Linked DNA regions of Oryctolagus cuniculus. The protein of the gene in region 2 interacts with the protein of the main gene of each other region in a biochemical or structural test. Links are inferred from orthologs where the notes say so. Each region holds a gene or a part of one and is shown on either strand. Other genes may lie near its edges.

Region 1 (4,209 bases), on a different chromosome or scaffold from region 2:
CAGCCAGGTGATGTGACACACGTTAGGCACCAGGTGACTGACCTGCTTTCCAATTATGCTGGATTAATTTACACGATTTAAAGACACTGCTGTGGCCTGATTTTTTTTTTTAAAGATTTTATTTATTTATTTGAAAGTCAGAGTTACACAGAGAGAGGGAAGGAGAGAGAGAGAGAGGTCTTCCATCCGCTGGCTCACTCCCAATTGGCCACTACAGCTGGAGCTGCGTGGATCCGAAGCCAGGAGCCAGGAGCTTCTTCTGGGTCTCCCATGAGGGTACAGGGGCCCAAGGACTTGGGCCATCTTCTGCTTCTTTCCCCAGCCACAGCAGAGAGCTGGATTGGAAGTGGAGTGGCTGGGACTAGAACCGGCACCCATATAGGATACTGGCACTGCAGGTGGCGGCTTTACCCTCTATGCCACAGCCCCAGCCCCCGTGGCCCGATTTTTAGATGTACGTTCAATCAACACGTGATGGATGCCTTCAACGTGTCAAGCACCCTTCTCCGCAAGGCTCCAAGTGTCTCCTTCCACTCTCCCATTCTATAGATGAAAGTGGGTCTCAGGAAACGAGGCGACTTGCTTGAATCCACGTATCTAGTAAGTGTCAGGGCTGGGACTTAGAACTACGTCTTCCAGCTCCATGCCCAGGCACGCCATGCTGCTGGGTTTACCCAACTGGAGCTACTTCCATGTCCTTGCACGCGGCTCTCACTGCTTCTTGCCTTCATCCTACGGAACACAATACAGGGTTCTGCACAAACGGGCAGTTACCCACTGCCTAGATGCCCGTCCCCATTCTGAGAAGGGACTGTATCAGATCAAATTACTCTGGTGCCTATTATAGCATCCTGGGCTGACAGGAGTGCAGTTGGCTGAAGATGGGTGATTCTTGCAAGTTACATTTTCACAATGTTTTTCACCACTGTATCCGGTCAGTCACTCCAGTGTTCAACAGTTATAAATCAAGATGACTATTCACTTCCCTTCACCGTTAGTTCACAGTGCTAATGAATTCAGTATAATCTCATCTTCTATCAGAAAAATTTCCAAAATGCAAACTTGAAGCTGATGATTCACTCTGTGAGTAGAGGAGGGGAATACAGCAGTACTCATTGTTTTCTCTAAAGCCAGCATTGTTTGCAAAATTCAGAAACTGTACAGTTGGTTGACTCCCAGTAACAAGTAGTTTGCTCCTTGGTCATTTAGCAAAACGCGGTTCACTGCGCCACGGTCAGTGACTAAGGAGCATTTGACTTGAAGGGCTGCCGCTGAACAGTGCAACCCTACATACATAAATCAGTGAATCATTATGTAAGACACGAAAAAAACCCAAAATCTTCAAACCAGAAAGCACCTGACACCGGGCCTGGCACAGATCAGACATCAACACCCGGTAAATGCAGACTGGTAAAAGATTTACGGTCCCTCTGAAAACATCCCTTGGCTTTTGAGAGCGAAACACGGAACATACACAGGGCATGTTAGGAACTAAAAAATACGGAGTGAGCGACTCAAGACGTCTAACAGAGGCACAGATGACCACACGGACACGGTGTAAAAATGCCAGCAGGACTCTGACATCTCTTCCATCAGGGGACCACGAGGGCACGGGCGAAACGCTCGCTACCTGGCGATCTCAGCACATGTAACAAAAACTGAAAGAGCCGGCCCCGGACTAACTTCACACTCTGTTCAAAACAGAAACAAGGTGTGCGAGGCGCCCACCTGAACCCGGGGAAGTCGACCCCAAAACGCCAGTGGGGCCGTGGCCAGTATTTGAAACAATAATGCCGACCGAGTGGTTGGCAGGCACGGTCTGCTCCGACATGCTCAAGTGTCCCTACATCTGAGACCGGGCTCCACAAAGACGAAACCCGAACCGGATGGATGGAGGGGGCCACATTGGCCATTTTCCGCAAGGAACAACCCGCACGGCCAGCATTTACCAGGTGTGCCGCTCGGGCGAGTCTGGGGTCTCGGACGGCAGAATGCAAGCGCTTCGAACGTGCGTCTCAAGAGACCTCTGACGGAAATGCAAGGCCAAGTGCAGTATCTCGCGCCGTTCGCACATCAGAGCAAGCCCTCCCCATCACTCGCGGACAGGCTCCCCCAGCGCCCGTCCCGGGGGTCGCGCCCACCCCCACCGGGATCCACCTGCAGGCCGGCGGGCGCGGTGCAGAAGCCGGGTCCCTCCGACCCCGGACGGCGCACCTCTCGCCCCCGACAGGATGCGGCGACAGATGTGTCACCTGCGCGGCCAGGGCGGCCACGCCATCCCCGGAGACGGGCGCTCGTCGCGGGGTCGGGAAAACTTTCGGCGGCCGCCGCCCGAGACCCCCGGGGCTCCCGCCGCGCGCGCCAGGCCCAGGCGCTCCGCGCCCCCTCCCCCGGCCCCGGCCGGCAGAGGGCGGGGTCGCTCACCCGTCCGCAGCTCGTGCTTGACCGTGAGGAGCTGCTCCCCCGTGTCGCCGCCGTCCCCGCTGGTCCCCGCGGCGCCGTCGCCGCTGCCGCCCTTCTCCTCCATCTTCTCCCTTTCTCCGAGCCCACGGGGCGCTCCGAGGGGGAGCGCGGGAGACAGCGGCCACCCGTCCCCTCACAACCCCTGCGGCAGCCCCGGCAGCCGGGGCGCGGCGGCTTCAGAACTCGGACGCCGAGACCAGTCTGTTTCCCGCTCTGGCCGCACGGCTCGCTCCTCCGCCTCCTCCCCCTTCGGCGGGCACCGCTAGTACCGCGCAACCAAGCGGCCCCCGGCTCCACCGCCTCCTCCGCCGGGCCGCTCCGCCCACAGCCAGCACGGTAGAGGAGCCACTCGGCCCGCCACCGCCTATTGGGCGCCGGGCGCGCGCGTCTGCCAACGCCGGCTCCCATTGGGCAACCCGCTCTGACGTTTCACGAGCAGCCCCGCCCCGCTCCTCGAATTGTTGTTGCCTGGCGGGGAGGCAGGAGAGGGAGGAGCGTGGCCGCTCCGATTGGTGAGAACCGAGGTTCTGCCCCGCCCACCTCCCTGGGTGCGCACGCGCAGCCGAGACACTCTCTTCCCTGACCTCCCCAGAACGGTCACACCCCTTATTCCCCAGCTTCTATCTGTTAGTAAACAGTGTCTAGTAGTCAGGAGGCGCTCGAGGCCTGTGATTGGCTACTGCTGAAAGAGGCGGGGAGGGCTGATTGGAACGATTGGTCCGCCAATCACGGTGGACAGAGGCGGGGCCCGGAGGAAAGCGCTTGTCACCCACGTGTTTGCGGATAAACCTCTGGTACTCAGACAGCGATCCGCAGGTGCGTGACCCCCTGGAAGACGTCATTGGCACTAGGGAGCCTTAAACGAGTTCAGTGACTTAAAATACAGGTGATTCTTGGGCATTAGAAGAATTCACAGTCCTAGCCTCCCATTAGGAATTTTGCAAAAATTTTACAAAATTTCATTTTGTGCAGGACTCCTCCTGGGAGCCGAAAGGATGGAGAGTCTAATAACATACAGCACAGCTGCTGCGCCTGATCACTTCTCAGAGGAACGCGGAACCCGACGGTGTGTGTGTGCACGCCGATACTGTAAGAGTGTGAGATAAAAAGCCAAGCTACACAGGTGGTGGAATCCCGCAGAGGGAACAGGCCATCCCCGGGGAAGAGCTGCGACAGGCTTTTAGAGCAAGGAGGCCTTGGAGGTAACCAGCTCCAGAGATGGGCAAGACGCAAGTCCCAGAGGCGGAAACAGTAACTGAGCCTAGGCCCGCAGCAGAGAGCGAGCGTGGGTGAAGTGCTGGACCCGGCCGCCCGGCAGGACAGGGCAGCTGTGGTGCGGTCACCGGGGACCTCCAGTGCCAGGCTGGACACCGCAGGCTGTATCTGGTCCGCGGTGGGAAGCTTCACACAGTAGGTGCAGTCTCCAAGCTGTTCTCTGGCAGTTAGCTTTGCTTATAAGAAGGGCGGACTACTGTGAAAGCAGGGCGGGAGCCCAGTTACAAGACCAGAACTCTGGGGCAGATACGAGAATGGGAAAAGGAGAGACTTCCAAGTGTATGTACTTGGGCATAATTCCTGTAGGCATCATCTTTTTTTTTTTTTTTTTAGATTTTTTTTGGACAGAGTTATAGACAGACAGAGAGAAAGGTCTTCCTTCCGTTGGTTCACTCCCCAAATGGCAGCCACAGCACCGATCTGAAGCCAGGAACCAGGTGCTTCCTCCTGGTCTCCCATGCGGGTGCAGGG
Region 2 (4,001 bases):
CCATTTCTTTTTGAAGAAAACAAATTATCCACTAATCACATCTAATTAGTTTCAAAAAGAAAAAGGTACCATTTCATGAATCAGGCTTTAAGCCCCAAGTTTCCATTTTCTGTGAATATTTCAATGACTTAACATTTATCTCAAAGTTACCACTAGTGATATATTTGTTATTCAATTTAAGTATTTAGAGTTGTTCTTTACACAGTGCAATGGGACATAATGGGTTAAGTTTTTTTTCAGGCTGTTATGTGAGGAAAAGTCGTTCAAAAGTAGTAACATTATAGAGTTTTAAGTTCCAAAAGAACACTCTTCAGGAAAATTATGTCACAAAGAATTCATTAGCTTTCTAAATGCAAGTGTCCACTAAAAAAAAAAAATTTAAGTAGACCCAGCTGTAATTTTTACTGAACCTAGGACAGCACAGAGGTTTAATTTCATGCCATGTTCCTGGTGAATGTTCAAATATTAATGACTATAAAAGTTTGAGAAATCTCACTTGGATTTGCTAATATTCAAAAATTATGAATCTATAAATTTTAAAGACCTTTTGGATAAGACTGAAGAAGGAATGCACTAGAAACTTTTTAAAAAACTCAGAAAAAAAATCTAACTGGTTTGCAGGAAAAATTTATTAAGGAAAAAACAGTAATCTACCACCACCAATAACTTCTTCAGTGTTTGGAAATAAAAAAGGAAATTCCCTTTATTTGCATCTTCTCAAGTTTCTCAGCAATGACAAATTGCCAATGTGGTCTTTTAAAGACTAGCAACACAACTACAAGAAAACTGACTTAGATACAGGAAAGTCAGAAGAGAATGCTGCTCCCGCCGGTCAGGATTTACCCCTAAACCAGAAGAAGCCTTGCATGTATCAATCACAATTCAATCACACAGTGACAGGTGAGTATTTTTAGAACAAATTATCTGTTCATCTCTCTCACCATCTAAAACGACCGTTTGGGGCTTCACTTTTAAATCAGGAAATGCTTAAAAGTACAAGTTGTCAATAGGCAGCTACCGAAAAGGATCTTACACTAAACCTTCAGAAGACAGACCTAAGGGCAAGCTAAGGCTAGAGTGAAACTCGGTAAGGAGCGACAAATCTAAGTAGGTCATACTGCACGTCCTTTAAAAATGTGGTGTTTTAACCTTGTGTCAGTGACTTTACTGCTGTCCCTTTTCTCAAAAGACGAAGAAAAGTAAGTTTTGTGGCTTAAATTACAGAATGGGGTTCCCCACTGTATGCAAGACAGATCATGGATACTGTTAATGTCTACTTTTAGCACTGTTAGGACATCCATTTCTCATTAAAGTTTATAAAGAGATCCGTGGGAAACTTGGTAGGGGGTGAGGAGAGACCCAGGTGACTCACCCAGCTGACATGTGTGCACCCCCCTCAAAGTGATGCAAAACAAAAGTACGTCTGCGAATGCTCGTTTCAACGAAGTGTTTCAGAATGTTAGACCTCAACTGGTTACTACCTAACTGAAAAGGGTTAAAACCGAAACTGTTTCAAACACCAGCTTCCCTTTTACAAGATCCCAACAGGTTTCTTTTTTTTTTCTTAAAGTTATTACAAATGTTTTTCTTAGCACCCCGTTCCTTCCAAAAAGAATGCATTTCCATGGCTACTGACTTTTAAAAAAAGAAGCGGGGGGGAGGGGGCAGTAAGGGAAAGAGTCAAAAATTCCCTAAAAAAAGCACGACCTCTCATCATCTCAATTGAGCGGCAAAAGGGCAGAAGACAGCCTTTCCCCAACGTTGCGGGAGCGGGGGGCGGAAAAGGGCACCAAGAAAAATACAGCACGAGAAGAAAGCTTGGGGTTCGAACTTTATTGCACAAAAGAGCGTGGAGGGGAGAGCGGATCAGACGCTGCGGCTCTTGCCCGCGCGAAGCGGGCACGCCGGGCTCGGAGGCTACCGGGAAGGCGGCAGGCACCTTCACCTCCTCTGCCCTCGACCGTCGCCTTCTTCTTCCTTCTCCACCCCCCACGGGCTCCCCGGCCGCGGCTGCCCCGCCGGGCCGAGTCGGGCCGGGCCGGGCCGGGGGCGAGGCGGGCGGCGGGGGCCGGCCGGCGGGCGAGCGAGCGAGCGAGCGGGCGGCGCGGGGGGCAGCGCCGGGCCGGGCGGGCGGCCTCCCCCGGGGCGGCTCCCGGCTCCCGGCTCCGCGCCCGGCCCGGCGGCGGCGGCGGGAACGCGGGCGCCAGCTCGCCGAGGCCGCCCGCCCGCCCGCCCGCTCGCTCGCCCGCCCGCCCGCACACACACCCCGGCCGCCGGCTCCCACCCCGCTGCCCGCCCGCCGCCCCCCGCCATGAGCGCCGCCGCTGGCTGCAGGCAGAGTCGCTGCCGCCCCGGCCGCCGCTGGCTCCAGTCCGCCGCCATTATTCTTTGTTCGCTGCGAGCGGCGGCGATGTTGTGGGGCTCGGGCGGAGGCTCCATCTTTACCGCGGCCCCTCCTGCGAGGGGAAGGCCCCGAGCGCGGGTGTCCGGCGCCTCCCCGTCCCCCCTCCGTCCCCCCGGCTCTCTCCGGCTCCTGCCTCCTCCTCCTGCTCCTCTTACCGGTGGTACAAGCTCCTCCGTCACTGCTTTCGTTCGCGGCCCGGATCTCGCTGGAGTTTTATTCTCTCCCCCACGTAACACACCGCGTCAAACTACACCTCCGCCGCGTCACTCACCAACACTCCGCTTCTCCCAGCCGCCCGGGCCACAGGCAGCAGCAGCCGCCGCCGACTGAGGAGCCGCAGCCAGGGAGCCAGCCAGCGCCGCCCAGTGCCGAGTGCGCAGCGGCTGCGCACGGAAACAGCCGAGCGCGGCCCGGAGCGGCTCGAGCGGCCCCGCCCCCGCGTTGGAGGCGGAACTTGCCGAAGGCCTTCGGGCTCCTTCGCGCCAGGCGGAGCGGGGCTCAGCGGGGAAGGGGCCGGGCGGCGAGGGCTGAGACCCGTGCGGGGAGGAGCGCTCTCTACCCCGGCGTGGCGTTCGGGGCGCTGAAACCCCGCGGCGGAAATTTGCAGGAGGAAGCGGGGTTGGTGTGTGACCCGGTGGGGGAATTCCCAAGGGTTCTAGGTGACTGGCTGGAAACCCCCCGCAGGCCTACCCCGAGGCGGTAAGCGGCGGGCTCTAGGGCGGCCACGGTGAGCCCCCGCGCGCCGCCGGCCCGGGAACTTTCAAACACGGCGGGGACGGTGTGGGTGCGGCGGCCACCGGGCAGGGGAGCGAGGGCCACCGCGCCTCGGCCGGCACCCGCAGGCCCGGGGCCTGGCTTGGGCGCTGGCGCTCGAGCAGGCCGCGGGGGGCGTCGCAGGGCCTTGGTGGCGCGGGCTGCCCAGCGGCCGCGAGCGGGGTCGTTCTTTGTCCGGAAGGCAGGGGCTCCGGAATTCGCGGTTGAGCCCTGCGACGTGGGCAGCCCGTCTTGGGGTTCGGTCGGAGCGAGGTTGCTCCTCCTCGGCGCTCGAAATTCGGCCCCACCCCACCTGCCCGCCCTTCTTGGGGCGACATCCTGTGCCTCATTCTCTTTTCGCCGCCTTTCTGCCGCAGTGGTTTGCGCACCCACCCCCACCCTAAGGCTGACACTGTGACTTCCGTGGCCTCCAGGCTGCTGGCACTGCTCCCCCAGGTCGCCCAAGGCCAACCACCGAGTCTCCTCTCCGCTCCTGCAGGCCTCTCCCTGGGTGAAGTCGTGTCCCTTGAAGCCGACTTGTCTTTCTGGAGTAGACCTGGCCCTGCTACCCACTGACTTCTGCTAGGAAGAGAGTTCTCCTTCCTGTTGCTGGCCATCCCCTTTCCGTTAGTTGTTTGCAGGCTTTCCTTCCTGCCATCTCTGCACCAATATTTTAACCATGCTTATTTCTACCCATGGTAAACGCCTTTTCAGCGACTCCACCTGTTAGCTCGTGGGCAGTCGCAGCCTCCTGTCCTTGCTTTACCCCCACTCGTGTAATGGGCTCCCTGGGCCGCTTTTGAGTGCCCCTCCTGTGCTTTGTAAGGCTGTCTCATACTCTTCC

The links. The genes of interacting proteins can lie anywhere in the genome.
Region 1: of the proteins of CREB1 (region 2) and RPS6KA5, one has a biochemical effect on the other in vitro, tested with the Homo sapiens proteins (3 studies listed by BioGRID, with this or other methods). The link is inferred for Oryctolagus cuniculus from reciprocal best matches to the Homo sapiens genes CREB1 and RPS6KA5.

Annotation. Positions count from the first base shown.
Region 1 is NC_091451.1:36,524,789-36,528,997, forward strand, and holds the start of RPS6KA5 (ribosomal protein S6 kinase alpha-5), read right to left. Parts: upstream 2,810-4,209; 5' UTR 2,528-2,809; coding exon 2,425-2,527; intron 1-2,424. UniProt on the Homo sapiens protein: Serine/threonine-protein kinase that is required for the mitogen or stress-induced phosphorylation of the transcription factors CREB1 and ATF1 and for the regulation of the transcription factors RELA, STAT3 and ETV1/ER81, and that contributes to gene activation by histone phosphorylation and functions in the regulation of inflammatory genes.
Region 2 is NC_091434.1:32,262,048-32,266,048, forward strand, and holds the start of CREB1 (cyclic AMP-responsive element-binding protein 1), read right to left. Parts: upstream 2,802-4,001; 5' UTR 2,676-2,801; exon of another isoform or gene 2,560-2,675; intron 1-2,559.